Arabidopsis thaliana: one gene and its partner. The protein of the gene in region 1 interacts with the protein of each later gene in a pairwise test. Each region holds a gene or a part of one and is shown on either strand. Other genes may lie near its edges.

Region 1 (7,401 bases):
AAGGAGTTTCAAGATCATGACAGAATTCACTTGATACACAAACCATACATGCACATGACTGATTCTTCCCTTTATAATACTTTAGACATATAGAATTCTGTATATATGTGGATATTCTCATAGAGAGATCATTGGTGTAATTAAGAAGAAAGGATTTGAAAAGATCATCGAATCATTTCAATTATATGAAGCTTCATTATATAAAACAAGCTAAAATTAACATTGATTAATAACAAACCAAAACGCAAACAACTTTTTATTAAAGCTTAATGACAATAATGACCAAAGGAACAATACTTCCCGCCACCGCCATGACCACCATAACCACCTTCATCGTCTTCTTCATAATCATCATCATCATCATTGTTTCTACTATGAACCCACCACAACAGATTACTTAAAGAGTTCCCATCATCAAACCCATTTAATCCTTTAATCTTCTCCATTGCTCCATCTTTGTCGTACATACTTTCCAAAGCATACACAAATCCTTTCCACCCTTCTCCGACGCTGTCTCTAGCCAAAGCAGGCATTGTCCAATTCACGAGCTGTTTCACGAATGTCACGTCCGAGAACAGAACTTCTGATACCGGAAGTAACGGTAATAACTGTATCCCAAGGCGACATTCTTTCCACTCTTTAGGCGCGAACCATAAGCCACTGTCTCTCTTTGTTGACCATAACACTCCAACCACACGATTCTCCGATGTGAAATCTTGCGGGTAAATAGCGTCGTCTTCTTTCACCTGCCACCACATTTTCGCCGCGTGAATCTCCAGCGTCAGAACCATCGAAGCAGCCGCCACCAAATGTGTATCCCCATAAGCTAGCCCCAACAAAGCAGCGGAGTAATACGCATTGACAGCCTCGCTTGTACTCTCTTGATTCCTCCCGTCAGCGAACTCCGTTAACCCTCCAGCCCAAGAATGAAGCTTGAAAAGATCAAAGCATCTCAAACGCGGGTAATTCGAATTCGACTTGGCTCCTTTCTTCCCCAACGTCAAGTAATCCGCCATTAAAGTATACGCTTGAGGTCTGTATCTCTTCCCCCATAAAGGATCAATCTTTGCAAGCACAGCAATCGCATAAACAAAGTAACCTAAATGATAATGATGATCATTGTAAATCCCAAACCCAAAATCTGCTCCTGAATCTCTAGATCCTAGCTTAGTAATCACACCTCCCCATTTTGGATCATACAAGAAACCATTTGGTCCGAAACTTCCATTAAGCCACGGCTCGATCATGTTCTTCAAGTAAGTTCTAATCTTTGGAATAACATCCAGATAACAAACTTCTTCAGCTATTAAAGCTAACCTCGCCGCCCTCGCGATCAATTTCGCGTAGAAATACGAAGAGTTGGTGACCTCAGCTGATGAATCTAAAGCGTTAACGTCTTTGATTAGAGCAGAGATGATCTCTTGGTGAGAATCTTCTTGAACTCCTTTGATAGAGTGCCACGTAACAGAAACAGGGTCTGGTTTTAAAACCCATGAATCTCCGATGACACCTACTAAATCACCGTCGATGCTGTTGTATTTGAAATTGTCTAGAACTGTGATAGAACAATCGTTGGTTGATAAAAGCTTGAGATGAAGAGGATGAGCTAGCATTAGAAGATCTCCATAGCCTCGTTTCTCCCATTTATACTCTAAAGCAAACGGCTTTGTGAAATCAGCGTCACCGGAAACTGGGTAAGAGCAACTGAATCCGTCGAGGATTGTTTCGAAATACGGATTTGGATTTGGTAACACGACGATCCGGATAATACCCGAAAACCCATCACCGCAATTGATTGAAGAAACGCCGTCTTTGGTTAGATTGATCGGAGAAGAGGCGTAGATTAGCCATGTTTGGTTGTTGTTGAGTTTGACGGTGTACTTTGTTGAAGAGGTGTTACCGGAAAGTGATAAAACAGCGTGGATCGTTGAGATTGTGATGGAGGAGTTAACGGAGAAGGTGATGAAAGGGCTTCCTCTAACGAGGAAGAATCTGAGATTAGAGGAGGGGAAATCGAGAGTGACGCCGAGATCGCTGAAGGAAGAGATGAGATGAGATTTACGAGAATGCGGGTCGGGTCCATCTGACCCGGTTATGGTTATGTCGGCGTTGAAAGCTTCGTAGATGAAAGCAGAGTTGTGGGAGAGAGATGGGTAGGAGATGGAGAGAGATGAAGTCGAGGGTTTGATGATGTAAGGATGAAAGTACTCAGCTTGGTCGCCATTGTTGAGAGTGAAGTTTTGGAAGAAAGAGTTTGTAGGGAGAGGAGATGAGAGGAGATCGTGGCTGAAGAAACGAGACGGGTCGGGTAGAACAGAGGAATCGGATCTTGGGAAGAGAAACGGAGTGTTTTTTTGTCTTGAGGAAGACATTTGTTGAGACGGTGGTGGAGATGGTGAAGGAGGAAGAGGAAGAGGTGGTGGTGGTGATGGAGGTCTGTTCTTGGGCTTTTTAAAGGGTTTGGTGATTAAGACTTTGACTTTTCGCCTCACTTTTTTCAACATTTTGCTTAGTCAAGAGGAGAAGAGATAACGACGGATTTGGAAATTGGGTTCACAAAAAGCAAAATTGTGGGGTTTGTTTGGTTAGAAAGAAAAATGATAGGGAAATTTTGTAAATATATAATAAAAGATGGTTTACAAGTTAAGGTTTTGGGAACGTGCAGGAGACTTGCTAGATGCTAAAACGTAGACAAGATATTGGTATATGCCCAAATTAAAAATGTAAATTAACGGTACGAATATGGTTGGATAACAATAATTCTCTAAGGTTATTTGTATTCTTGCAACAAAATATTTGGTTAAACAACTTAGTTCGTAATTCGTATGTGACTTTGTGTGATTGAGTATTACATGTTTGGTTTGGATTGGTTATTTGAAAAAATTCCAAATTTGTTGGATAGGTTTGGAAAATGCTTGAGGTCTTTGTGACTTGATGTTGTTTTGCTTAGAGAAGGAGGAAGAGGGTTGATTGCAAGCAATGTAAATTGCAAACACGCGGTAATGCATATTACATTTCTTAAGGCTCATATTAAATAGGCATAGGACAGGATATTTTTTTTATTTCTTTTACCATTTTAAGTCATTTTATAATGCTGCTTTCAATGCATATATGACAACTTTATGTTTTGCTTAGTATAAGAATTAATTTGTAAAATTTTGATTTGGTCGAGATTTGAGCATAGTCCCATAAACTATTTTTGTTTAATAGACAAGGCCTTATCTTAAGGCCCATATATAAGACGGATACTAGAAAGTAAAAGCCATTTTGAGTGTTAACCGGACCAACAAGAGAATTCAACTAACATAACCGAATCGTGCCGGTTCAACCACCAACCGCTTCGGTTTAGCTCTGCCATCGTCCCGCGAGTCACATCAAAGAGACGGAGACGGAGAAGGAGAAGAAGAAGAGATATGGCCGGACTTCTAGCTTGGGCTGCCGATGTCGTCGGTAAAAATGGAAAAGAAGGAGACGATGAGAAGGATCGGATCCCATTGGTTTTCACGGAGGAGCAGCAGAAATACGTCGATGAGCTTGGCCGAAAAGCGACAAACCTCAGCCGTTCGATCCAAGATCTGCGGCTCAGATTGCCTCCACCGGATATCTCCCAGCGTCTACCTGACCTTCATGCTCACTCCCTTGCGTCCAATGCCGCTCTCACTCTTCAGCTTGATTCGCACTCCGCTACTCGTGAACAGGTTTGAGTTATTGAAATACTATAGCTGATTTGGGAATTGTGTTTTTGCGTTATAGGATTAGTCTTCAATGGATATGGCTTTGGCTGATGTTGAAGTGATCCTAATGGTTCTTCTTTTGGTATTGCAACTAGGCACACATGAGAGAGCAGACACTGCTGGAAGAAAATAGTGCATATGAGAATGCAATATCAACCTGTGAGACAAAAATAGAAGAGAAGAGGAATGAAGCAGATTCTCTTCTTAGAAAGTTGAAGGTGAGTTATCAGATAATTGTTCTTTTCTTGTCTGTGATCTTGTTCAGATATGTATGTTGGTCCTGTTACCATTTGGGTTCTGCCTGATATTAGATGGTTTGCAGGAGCTAGAAGCTGTAGAGGAAAACTTGAAAACTGAGCAGGATAATGCACAAGCTTCTCTAGATGCAAGGCAGTCCAAAAGCTCTAGTGAAACTGTTATTCAGCCTGATGGGAATGGAAAAGATGGAGCAGATACAGAGGCCATGAAGTCCTTTATGCTAGAGAAGTTGGAGAGCAAAAAGAACGATATGGTTAGTTTTCATTTTACGTTTCATGGGTATGGATTGGAATAGTCGATTTGGCTGTATATCTGATGGCAGTGTAAGTTATATTTTCCATTTAGAGTTTAATGGAAGAAAAAGTTCAGGATTTAGAGAGGAGTTGGGCTGTTATACAGGAAAGAGCACTGAAGCAGCCTTCTCCAGGTACTTTTTTTTGTCATCAATTCTGATTAGTTAGTAAATTACTATTTTATCACCATTCAGAACCATCACGTCTTCAATATATATGAAACAAAAAAAAAATTGTTTTACATAGCTTATTTTCAGTAAGAATTCAATAGAGATCTGTTTTTTGGTTCCGTTAGATAGGTTGATAGCGTGAAAAATTTCATTCACATTATCTGACTGGAAAGGTTTTTCTTTCACAGCTCAGAGAGAGAAGACACTGGATAAACAACTTCATAGCCTAATCGAGCAATTAGCTGCAAAGCAGGTCCATCACAACCCAAATTAATCTACACTTTTCCCTTTAGACTGTTTCTTAACAGAAACTTTGATATGCTTATCAGGCACAAGCAGAGGGGATTGTTGGTGAGATTCATCTAAATGAGATGGAGTTAGAGAGACTAAACAATTTATGGAGAAGATATGAAAGCTTTAACGTTGAAGGGAACGCTGCGAGGAACAGATTCAAGAGAACAAATTCAGATAGAGAATTTACATCAGACCACGAAGTTGATGGTCATTCCTACCTTCCATATTCATCTGCTACAAGAAATGGGACCCAAACAAGGCTTATGTATCTCAGGTCAGCTTTTGTCGTCTACATTTTGGCTTTGCAAGTCCTGGTTTTCATCAGAATTTCCTTTTGAGAAGTTGTGTACACGAGTAGTCTGTTCTGCTTTTAGTTTGCGCAAGGGAGTCAAAATACTGCATATAAAAATTTATAGGAATACAATAATTGTTGTCAAATGGTTTTCTGTCCTTCCATATGGATATATGGCAATTGAATACTGAGACTCCTACATGAATCTTTCTTTACAATTTTTCTTGATATTAGATATATGTCTCCACTACTCATTCTTGAGGGATGCTTTCTAGTTATCTGTCTTCATCATTTGTAGCAATATATCATTCAGAGTATCGATAGGTCCAGGCAGGCACCAATGAATACAGTCATTTCTTAAAGTCACATTTGGATTCTGTAGATGTCCATATCTCCCAGGATGCCCATCTGGTCGCAATAGCATTGCCTGTGTCGTGTCCATTAACTTCAGTCTCAAACCACTCTTCTTCATCCCATCTTCTTCTGCAGCTCTAAATTCCTCCCTTTGAATGTCGTGAACCTTGAGATCTGCCTCGGGTATAGTCTCGTTTCTTCTGTAAGGTTGTGTCCGTACACAGTCCCCTCCTTCGTTCCAAGCCCCACCTTCGAAATGTTGAGGAGAAAAACTCCTTAAAAATGCCAGACCCTTGAAATTCTCGATTATAGCTTTTAGAGATATTCTTAAAGCCTTCCTGTATCCATAGGTCAAAGGCAATTCAGTCGTGTTTGGTAACGCACAGTATTGGCACCCAGAGATTTGTTGGTTTTCATAGAAAATAACCGGCCGGGAAAACCAGTGGCCGGATGATATAACCAGGTAGTCGAGTTGGTCGAGCTGACTCGTCCACTTCGTGTCATATTCGTCGAGGTATAGGCTGAAGAAGTTGGACTTCGGATCAGGTTTAGTAGCCTTCACTAGAAATGGTGACCACATGACATGAAGAGTGAAGTTATAGGATGTGTAGTTCCATACTTTGAAATCCGTATCTGGTGAAGGAGAAATGTCTTCAGGGTATTCCACCTACAAGGAAATAAAAAAAGTCAACACATTAGAGAGATGGTGGTTCGCTGGTGATCATTGACAATTAGTTTGGATTTTTACCCTAGAGAGAAGGCACAAGAGAGATTGGACTTGGTTTCTGCTAATGGAGTCACCAACAAACCCCATGGCTTTCCCTCTAACCATTTCCAAGAACTCTTGAGGATCAAAGATGGGAAGGTCGCAACTCTCCGGCTTCCACCTCCATCTCATGAATCCGGTATCAGGTCTCCCATATTTCATGCAGTTCTGGTGCTCATGTATTGCCCAGCATGTCGTGTTGGTGTAGTATGGAGCTTCTTCGTTTGGTACCCACTCCCCGGTAAAAAGGTCACACATTTGCTCATCATCTCTGATCCGCGTCCTTGATGGTGATGTGGTGACTGGGGATGAATGATCATCAGATGAAGAATTCAGATGTCTTAAGGACGTGTGATTGAGTGGAGCGGGAATGGGACCGTTCACAGGTGAAGGACTCTGATCAGCTGAAGAATTCCGATGTGGTGGAGCGGGAACGGGACTATTCATGGGTGAAGGAATCTGATCGAATGAAGAACTCCGTTGTCTTAAAGGTATATGATCGGTTGGAGAGGAAATGGGACCTTTCTTGGGTTTAGGAATCCGATGGAAAGAAGACTTCCGATGTTTTGAAGGCGTATGGTAGGGTGGCGTGGGAATGGAACCATTCACGGGTGAAGGAATCTGATTTGATGAAGAATTCAAATGACTGAGACGTGTATGATCAGTCTCGAAAGATGAGATTGATGGAGGTAAGATTGGATCGGCAAGGAGAGTATATAAAGCAGGAACTATTGTGAGGACAAATAGAACAAATGCTAATGTAATTGCAACTCTTGGTGTTCTTTGAAGGATTGCAAACAAAGGAAGCTCCATTGTCTGCTTCAAGACAATGGTGTCTGGTCTTGTCATAAATATGTATGTATATATGGTGAATAATGGTGAGCTCGTGGTCATCCAATAACTAGGCACAACATTTGACCATTTCCTGAAATATAATAAATAAACCTGAGGGAGACAGAAAGTCAAAAAACTTGATTTAGCTTGGTCATTAGGACAACATTTTTCGAACTTGCGCCAAGAATCCTTTGTCTTCTTCTCTCTTTAGCATAGCCAGCAAGAAGTCATTGAGGTTGTCGATAGGACCGGGCAAGCACCAGTGGACACAGTCGTTGTACAACGTGACATTGGCCTCTGGAATATGGCCGTAGCGGCTTGGGTGACCGTCGGGTCTAAGCCACATAGCTTGGGTCGTATCTAGTAATCGTAACCTTTTCCCTTTCTTCTTCGCTTCTTCTTCAGC
Region 2 (9,179 bases), on another chromosome or scaffold:
AGAGAATGATCAAGTAAGAAAGAATACCGAGTGGAATTTCACACGTCTCTGCTTATTCTCATTGCCCAACACGCGAGCTTCACTATAGTCTTCTTCATCTGAACTTCCGTAAAAGGGATCATCTAAATTCTAAAGAACATGATTATTATTACCTAAACCAAGAATATGATTCTTATCAGAGAGATGTGGGAATCCAAAACCTTAGAAATACAAGCTCTAAGCCTAAACACAAGACCTCAGCTAAACTATGAGAACAAATTTGTAAGAGTTTTCATCAGAAAAGTAAAAACTTTGTCAATTGCATAATATATGAAGGGCAAAGAGTCCTCACCATGCTTCGAAAGCTGTACACTTTCTCCATAAAGCTCTTTGGCCAAATTATCCTTCACATCTGTAAATCATTAAGAAACAAAGTTTTCAAGGTAATTATATTTGGGTGGGGAATATCATCGAACATCTGGTGGGCGATTTATGAAACTTATGAAATAATAATTGGTATCATAGAAAGGAACCTTCATGCGGCTCCATCAGTTCTAGACGTCCACGATAAAAGGTTTGAGCAAAGAAGATCTCGAGAGTAAAGAAGAACAATGAGGATCGTCGATGGCCACAACTTCTACGAAATGATATTTACAAAAAGATCTGAGATATCGGGACCTTGATTCGGAATCCACCTGAGTATTTTTGTAAAATAGGGAAATAAGGAAAGTAGTTATTATTAAATATCCTCAAAAAATATTATTGGTTAATACTTTATTTACTTTCATATTATAAATAATATTCGGTATTTTTTATTAAAAGGAAAATTTCCCAAGTTAAACGGAAATTGAGGAGTGGGATATATAACACGAGTGTTTGGCTCAGCCTTGTTACGAAACTTTAGCGATCTCCTTCTTTGATCATCTGATCTCTCTTCCTCTCAGCAAGATAAAAGCAAAAGCAAACTTTCCTTTTTTCAGGTTTTTGCCGTTAACTCAAAATTGCCTCATCTTTCTCTAATCTCTCTATATTAGAACCCTAAACCCACAGCAAATAATCAAACCCATCTTCTTCCAACAAAATCATGGCTTTCTATGTAAACGATAACGTAGACAACGTGATCGATGTCAAGCGGATCTACAACGACTACGACGGAGAACTACGAAAGAGCCAAAAATTGTTTTTCGATTTCAAAGTGCATTACACTCGTGCCGAAGAAGAAGATGATGACGTTGAAGAAGAAGAAGATTTTCCCGATTTTGACAATCTTCAAACTCTAACCCTTGAGCAAACACACGAGTTTGATCGAGATTGGTTGTTTGGTGGAGACGGTGATCATTCACTAGCCATCGTCTATCACATTCTAGATTCGCTCCAAGTCCCTCCTTATTCTGCTATTGTTAACACTCTTGCTGATGAGATTAAGGATTTGAAGAAAGATGGTGCGAAAGACGTGGAGAGGGTACAAGTAAAGATAGGTGTTACTGTCTCGAGGTTTCCCGGTGAAGATGATCACGTAGATGTGCAAGTGCAACTTGCGGTTGCTCCAGCGAACGATGAGGCGGTGGAGATGCACTTGGAGACGCTTGTTGTTGAGAATGAAGGCTATTGTGTGATATGCATGGATAATATCCGAGTTGGGTCAGATGTGGAAGCGGGTCGAATGCCGTGTTCGCATGTGTTTCATCGTACTTGTGGAGAGGAATGGCTTAGGAACAGTGGGATTTGTCCGGTGTGTCGTGCCCTGTTTCCGGCTTAAAACTTTAAAACCCCTTTTGTATTAGTTTTGTGCTATATGAACCCTAGTTTCATGCTTTATCTCTAGATTGTCACTTTCACTTTTCTAATGAAGTATGTTTTACCTAGTTCATTGCTATTTTTGTTTAAACTTTGATGTGAAACACACTAAATAAAAAGAAAAGGATCAGATATAAGATTCATAAGTCCAAAGGTACATAACAACAACAAAACAAGATCACAAAGCTACATTCTCTCACCACGTCATTGTACGAATATAAAAACCAAAGGGGTAAAGAAGTGCATCATCATAACAACCATTTGACTTCTTAATTCTAAAGGTAGACACTCAAGTTTTATTCAAAGCTACAACAGCAGCAAAGCAGAGAGGGAGAGAGAGATCATTACTTGACATGCTTAGTGAGATTAGGTTGTAAGGATTGGAGGCAGGTAGTCTGATTTGGTGCCGAGGATACGGGCCTTTGTGTCCGGGAAGAATTCAAATCCTGGAAGCTCAGTGATGTCGCCTTCGCTGGCTACACCGATCGGGTAGCGGAGCAAGTGACCAGGAAGGTCATGTTCGAGTGACTCACTTGAGTAAAAGTCCCAATACTTGTCAGAAATGCGGTTAACTTTCTCAATGCATTCCAAGCTTGATGGATCGAGGAAGGTTTCATCGAGCATTCCCAGGTGTTCGTACCAGAGTGACATACGAAACCCATGGATCTGGCCACGAGCTGGTTGTCTATGGGACAAGTGATGTGGTTGATAACCTCCCATTGCTATCTCAGAGTCTCTTGCACCGTCCATTGACCTCTGGTTGATGTTAGCAGACCCAATGATAATGTATTCATCGTCAACTGCAAAATGGATTTCATCAAATGAATCAGGCACAACATTTATGTATACTTCTCAAGTTTTTTTCCGTTGAAATGTGAACTTACCGATCATCATTTTGGTGTGGACGTAAATCATGAAACGGCGTGCTTCTTGCGCCCTCATGTAATCAGTGTCGGGGTCTGGTTTCTCAGCAGGCTCATACTCTCCATCTTTCTTGACCTCACGGTTTCCAAGACAGAAGAATGTCAGATAGTTTCTTGGATCTTCCTCAAGACCCTGGGCCCTGAGAGCCTGAATCACATCCTTGTACATCATCTCCATGGTCCTCCTCTGCCAGTCTAATATAGCTTGCACTGATCCACTCTCTGGGAGACCTTCTGGCCACATTGGAACCACAACATAGACCCTGAACTTCTCTCCTTTCTCAATCTTGCTAACTATCTTCAGCGACAACTCTTTTGGGATTAAGTGCAGGGCATTGATGTCCTCAGGAGTAATACCATCGGCTGCCCAAGCAAAAGAACTCCCAAGGAAGTACTGGTTTTCAACGTAGATGAAATCCTTAGCACGTCTGATTGCATGAATGTAAGCATCTTGGATACTCCTATCAATGATGTTATCTTTCCCACTTACAAGCCCGGCTTCCGCAGCAGCTTCAGGCGACTCGGGAAACCCAGCAGCAGCTCCTCCATCAATGGACCTAAACAATTGGACATTCCACACATCGTGGTCCTCTTGGAACATAACAGGAGAAGGGGTGATAATAATATCACTAAGATCTCTCAACTTAACCAGAATGTCTTTACCACCCTGCTTGCTCCATCTCTGCTCGAAGTTGTACATGACATCCCAAGCAATTGGACCTTCAAGACGGGAGTGAATGTCATGCCAAGGCTCCCTTGGACCACCTTTAGTGATAGCAGCACCAGTGAAGTTAGGTTGATGGAAGTCATCATGGTGGACTGTGTCCAATGTCCTGAACAAGGAGTGGAACGGAGTGTCGTATCTTCCATCACAAAGATCAATACCGCCAACAAAACTCACAATTCTCCTCATTTCTGATCCTCCTCTGCTTGGCATCTCGCTGTCCACAACAACGATTTTCTGATGATGCGTGAACATAGTAGAGATCTGCAAACTTTGGACTATGCTACCACCGTCATCCGGGTTACGAGGGCACAGAATACAATGGACATCACTTCCCCTGAAGAAATTCTCGGTCTCTTCATCATGAGTAGCCATGAGCCCATCTTTCTTCAGCACATCAACAGAAGTTCTGTCATCCCAAACAAGCAAAAGAACCCTGACACCTTCACTAGCCTTCTTCTTGAGTAGCTCACCAATGGTCACATCACCTCCAGGCTTAGGCCTCCTCGAGTCCCTCACTAAAGCAATCTCAGCGTAAACAGACCAACCAGTAATGTAGATCAAGTGTTTTGCATTGCTAATAGCATCAAAAATATCCTCCCAACATCTTTGAGGCTCATAGTTCTTCCCTCCAGCGAGAGGAATTCTAGGGACAAAGTTGTCTGGAATATGAGCATCTTGGTACAGAGAAACTTTGCAGCCTTGTCTCTGCGAGAAGAATGTGTATGGCACTCCAGGGAACTTGGCACTTTTGATACCCATGTTCCAGTTACGATCCTCCTCAACATGGAAATATTGAAGCTTGACATGAATCTTTGATCCTCCCTGAATAGGGTTTCTGTCATTATCCAAGATCTCAACCCACTGATCCACTTCCTCGCCGTTAATGACTTGATCAACAGGAATGTAAGCTCTTCCGATAAGGGTAGCTCCAATGGGATTATCATCTTTAACAGTGAAGATGATATCAGAAGCCAAGTGAGCACAGTAAATATGAAACGACTCATACCACTTTGGGTTCTTAGGTTCATTTTTGATCTTCCTGGTTCTCCCAACTCTAGCTTTTTGCAGATCAATCGTCGCATACAACTGTGTTTCTCCTTTACCAACACCAATCGTCTCTTCTACATTTGCCAGAATCTGAAAGTTTCATCAGAAAAATAAAGATCAAACTGTGTATTAGTCCACAGACTAATTTGAACTACAAAATAAGACGTCAGGATTGGCGCAAAAATGATGCAATAACAATGGATCTTATTATACCTTGCCAAGGAAGCCTTGCCTAACACCACCACCATGGAGGGCATCAACTTCATAGATGGTAGCATGTAAAGTCCCGTGCAACAGATGCTGCGCCATTTTTTCACCTTTAGCAATAAGAATTGACCAGAACACAATATTAGTTTCTGAAAAAACTAAAAAAAAAGAAAAGCGAGATCTACGAATCTCAAAGATCTGGTATCAAAATTTTAGAGCAGCTAAATTTTCGCAGTATTGTCCTAAAAACAAGGAACACTAGTTGAATAGTGAAACTAAAGTCACTGATCTAACTCAAAACTAAAGATCGTATCAGTGTAACACTAGAGGACAATAGCAAATGAACCCGATCGTTGATTATCCAAAAAGAAAAAAAAAAAAGTCAGCGAGTTCCACTTATCTCACAAAACAAAGAACCACCTAAATGATCAAACGAGTTTTAATCGCAAAACAAGTAAAGAGAAACATAAAGATAAAATGAATGAGATTCATAGAGATGAAGTAGAGAAATACTAACTTCGAATTATTCCCAGAAACTGAGATCTGATCGGAGAAACTCAATCGTTCGGTGGTCAGAAGAAGAATTCGGGATCTGGTCCGTGATGGAAGCTCTTTAAGAGCTACTTTGTGGAGCTGCTGTAATTTAATTGGAGCGTGTGGGGCCACTTTTTCATTATTTTCTACAGATCTTTGATGATTTAATAGTGACCCAACGTACGAATTGTTATTAGTTTCAGCCCTACACGTTTTTAGTTTCACAATTAGGCCCTAAATAGTTACTCTCAAGAGATTCCTTTCAATTTATAACTTATAATATATAGTTAATGTTACTAGATAACGATATAATTGTGGTTGGATTATGTTATCTCACATCCTAATAGTAATATTTTACGTTACATCTAAAATTATATAATAGAGTGAAAAAGATAAAATGGAAAGTTTAGTGACTAATTGAAAATCTTGAAAAGTTTTAAGAAGGCCGACATAAAAAAAGGAAATAAATATTCAAAGTTGTAATAAAATCCCTGACTTGAGGATAGGGGAGACAAAAAAAAAAAAGAGATATCCAAATCGTGCGCCCGACGTTCTGCATCCAAACGTTACGACATCGTTTCCCAAGCTGAATCCTCACCGTCCATCACAAGAAAACTATATGGTGTACTTTTCTCAAGTAGTACGTGTTCGCATAATGACATGAATTCACTAGCAATAATTTAATTGCTTCATCATTGGATCTCACACATCTTCGCTATAAGATTGGGTAGTTTTTTTTTTCGTTTTTTTTGGGTAAAGAAGAATGTGATAGTTGTATAAAATATTACTCCTCATAAACGGAACGTGGCCACATGGGGATTATACAATGTATTTGCATTCTCTGGTATCTAATAAGTTCTAATGTACTAACCATCAGCAAAACCGTCAATCATAAAAATGCGGTGAAGAACAGATCAGAGGTGTCTCATATATGGGGATCAAAGGGAAAATTAAGACAGTATTGGCAACTCGGCGTAATGCTAAATTGTAACACAATGGTAGGATACAAGGGAGCTTATTTTGGAGCTTATTCCCCTATCTATGTTTATTATTTAGCAATGCTCACGGCAAGGTTTCTGATACGCAGCCACCGCTCACCGGTGACTTGTCTGAAAAATCTGGACTTAAAATAACCCAATTCCTTTGTTTTGCTTCTATATTAGCTTATTTTAGAAAATAGGACTTTTGAATTTTAGTTGACCCAAGGAAAAAATGAAGAAGGGACGTAGAAACTAGAAATTTAGGTGCTATTGATATTTGAATATGGGCCATAATTGGGCCTGGTGATTTAACATTCTGTACACGTATTTAGGCCTGTATCTTGGAATGATTTTTTTTTTTTGTGGTAGGGTAAAACTTGGAATGAAATTTAGGTGCACCTATTGATATTGTCCGACTGTCTGAACTGAATTTGATAAGTAGTACGTGAATCTTTAACTGTTTAGTAGGAAAAAAAAGAAAAAAAATCAAAAGAATATTACTATAATTAAACTACAATAAGTACATAATTAGTTTTTTTTTTTTTCTTATAAGCAAAAAGAAAAAAGCTAAAATAGAAAACCCAAAAGCGAAGCCGAAGAAAAGAAACTAAAAGCGAATCATGAAAGTCAAAAATAGACAGAAAAGATAAGAACATCTCCATCAGTAGTCTCTAGTATGGTTTTTCACTAACTAAAAAATATAAAATAATAATAAAGTAGGAGAGAGAGAAAAGTAAATAATAGGTTACATTTTAATAGGTTAAATTATTATTTTCAGAATAATTATTTAAGTAAATAATAATATTATATGATAATAATTAAAAAACAATATTTTAAGATAATCCACCTAATTTTACCGTTGAAGATGGCCTAAGAAGCAAACACAAGTTTCTTCGGATAGATTATATAAATGTTTTTTGGCTCAACATCTTCTTCAAACTAAAAGTTTGAAAGGAATTACTAATTAGTTATACGATCCGGTTTATCAATCACAACAGATAACCGTCGTCATATAAAACCAAGGAACTAGAATCGGGAAAGCGTAATGATATGAGCTACTTTATTCGCTGCCCGTTCACAAGTTCTAGGTCTGCAAACCAATAAACTTTGTCATTCACTGCTCTCTAGGTCTGAAAACCAATAAACTTTGTCACTCGCTTACATAATTTACAAGTTTCTAGGACTGAAAACCAATAAACTTTTGTCAAAAGAAGACAAATTTAGCATGATATCTTTTTGCTAGGATTGAACATGTCACACTCGAGTATCATGTAATCAAATCCGTGGACCACTTCTCTCAAGTAGGATTCAAAAATGATATCTCAAATAACACCTTTTTAATATGCATTCAAAATATCAATTCAGATTATTTTGTAGATTTAAGTTTTTGTTGAGTGGACGGAGACTATCATATAAATCGCGGCATATACACTATGTGTTTAATGTACAGCTGATTATAACCTCTCTTTTTTTACCTATGTTATATAATTGCAGATATTTGACATTTCCTTGAAAATCAAACGAAGTTAAGGGAAATGGAACCAAAAAACATCTTTAAAAAATGGAACCAAAAAACATGAAGACACATTTATTTAATATTGTAACAGATAATACAATGCTACGTACTTTTAGGAGAACCTTTTTTTATTTTTAATTAATACAGTGCCCACTCTGACGCCTCATGGGCACTGGTAATAAATATGAGATTTGATAGTTACTACATCATTATTTTGTTAAGAAATTGTATATTCGTGTATCCATTTTCTTCACATTGTCTTCCCCTGTCCCACAAATATCCGCTGAACATGGTAAAGTCCTTTAGCATCTTCTTTTCTATGTACATATGTATCTTATGTAAGTAGTATAATATAGTAGCTAGTGTAGTAAAGCCTTCGCTTCAACAACATTTTTTCTTTAGTCGTAAACATATTCATTCATGATTTTAACGCTTTTTCTTCAAAATATATGAAGAAGAAGACTTGGTTCTTGAATTTCTCACTGTTCTTTCTTCAAATCTTCACATCTTCGAATGCATTGGATGTTACTCAATTCGGAGCGGTTGGAGATGGAGTTACAGACGATTCACAGGTAAAAACTAAGTTCTGTAGTTGTCATTTGTCCATTATAATCCGAAAAAGTTCCTAAAATATCAAAGTTTTTTCCTGGAATTAAAAAAACAAAAGGCGTTCTTGAAAGCTTGGGAAGCTGTGTGTAGCGGAACAGGAGATGGGCAGTTTGTCGTTCCGGCAGGGATGACATTTATGTTACAGCCCCTGAAGTTTCAAGGGTCTTGCAAATCCACCCCTGTTTTTGTTCAGGTACTCTGTTTTTCCCCTGTTTTTTTTTTCCTTGGATATTAATGACGAATATTTTGAAGTAAGTAATTACTAGTTTGTAATTTAATTGAAGATGTTAGGCAAGCTGGTTGCACCGAGTAAAGGAAATTGGAAAGGGGACAAAGATCAATGGATTCTTTTTACAGACATTGAAGGACTTGTGATTGAAGGTGACGGTGAAATTAACGGCCAGGGTTCGAGCTGGTGGGAACACAAAGGCTCTAGACCTACCGTGAGTATCACGTTAGCTGTTTGTTTTCCCAAAACATTGATTCGTTTTGTATGCAGTTTTAGCTAAATTAAAAACAAGATAATTATGATTTATGAGATTAGGCATTGAAGTTCAGGAGCTGCAACAACCTTAGATTGAGTGGGTTAACGCATTTAGATAGTCCAATGGCTCACATTCACATAAGCGAGTGCAACTATGTGACCATCTCAAGCCTACGAATAAATGCACCTGAATCAAGTCCTAACACCGATGGAATCGACGTAGGGGCTTCATCCAACGTTGTCATCCAGGATTGCATCATCGCAACCGGTATGAATAAACTCGATTTTTGGAGACTCTTGGCAAATTTACAAATACAGTTAGTATTGGCTCAATTTATATACATTATTGAAAAACAAAAGCAAGTTTTGGAACGGG

The links. Proteins that work in one complex are often made in the same cells at the same time.
Region 2: the proteins of AT5G15880 (region 1) and PLDALPHA1 interact in a protein complementation assay, tested with the Arabidopsis thaliana proteins (one large-scale study listed by BioGRID).

What each region holds. Positions count from the first base shown.
Region 1 is NC_003076.8:5,182,375-5,189,775, forward strand, and holds AT5G15880 (golgin family A protein), read left to right. Parts: upstream 1-3,276; 5' UTR 3,277-3,413; coding exon 3,414-3,698; intron 3,699-3,829; coding exon 3,830-3,952; intron 3,953-4,056; coding exon 4,057-4,245; intron 4,246-4,337; coding exon 4,338-4,419; intron 4,420-4,643; coding exon 4,644-4,708; intron 4,709-4,784; coding exon 4,785-5,087; 3' UTR 5,088-5,312; downstream 5,313-7,401. Other genes in the region: AT5G15870 (glycosyl hydrolase family 81 protein), read right to left, coding at 267-2,504; TBL21 (TRICHOME BIREFRINGENCE-LIKE 21), read right to left, coding at 5,313-6,062, 6,144-6,974; TBL19 (TRICHOME BIREFRINGENCE-LIKE 19), read right to left, coding at 7,150-7,401.
Region 2 is NC_003074.8:5,326,438-5,335,616, reverse strand, and holds PLDALPHA1 (phospholipase D alpha 1), read right to left. Parts: upstream 5,424-9,179; 5' UTR 5,198-5,423; intron 4,791-5,197; 5' UTR 4,783-4,790; coding exon 4,687-4,782; intron 4,564-4,686; coding exon 2,661-4,563; intron 2,577-2,660; coding exon 2,143-2,576; 3' UTR 1,872-2,142; downstream 1-1,871. Other genes in the region: AT3G15750 (Essential protein Yae1, N-terminal), read right to left, coding at 28-122, 332-391, 513-528; AT3G15740 (RING/U-box superfamily protein), read left to right, coding at 1,064-1,738; AT3G15720 (Pectin lyase-like superfamily protein), read left to right, coding at 8,160-8,282, 8,378-8,512, 8,604-8,762, 8,864-9,071. UniProt on the Arabidopsis thaliana protein: Hydrolyzes glycerol-phospholipids at the terminal phosphodiesteric bond to generate phosphatidic acids (PA).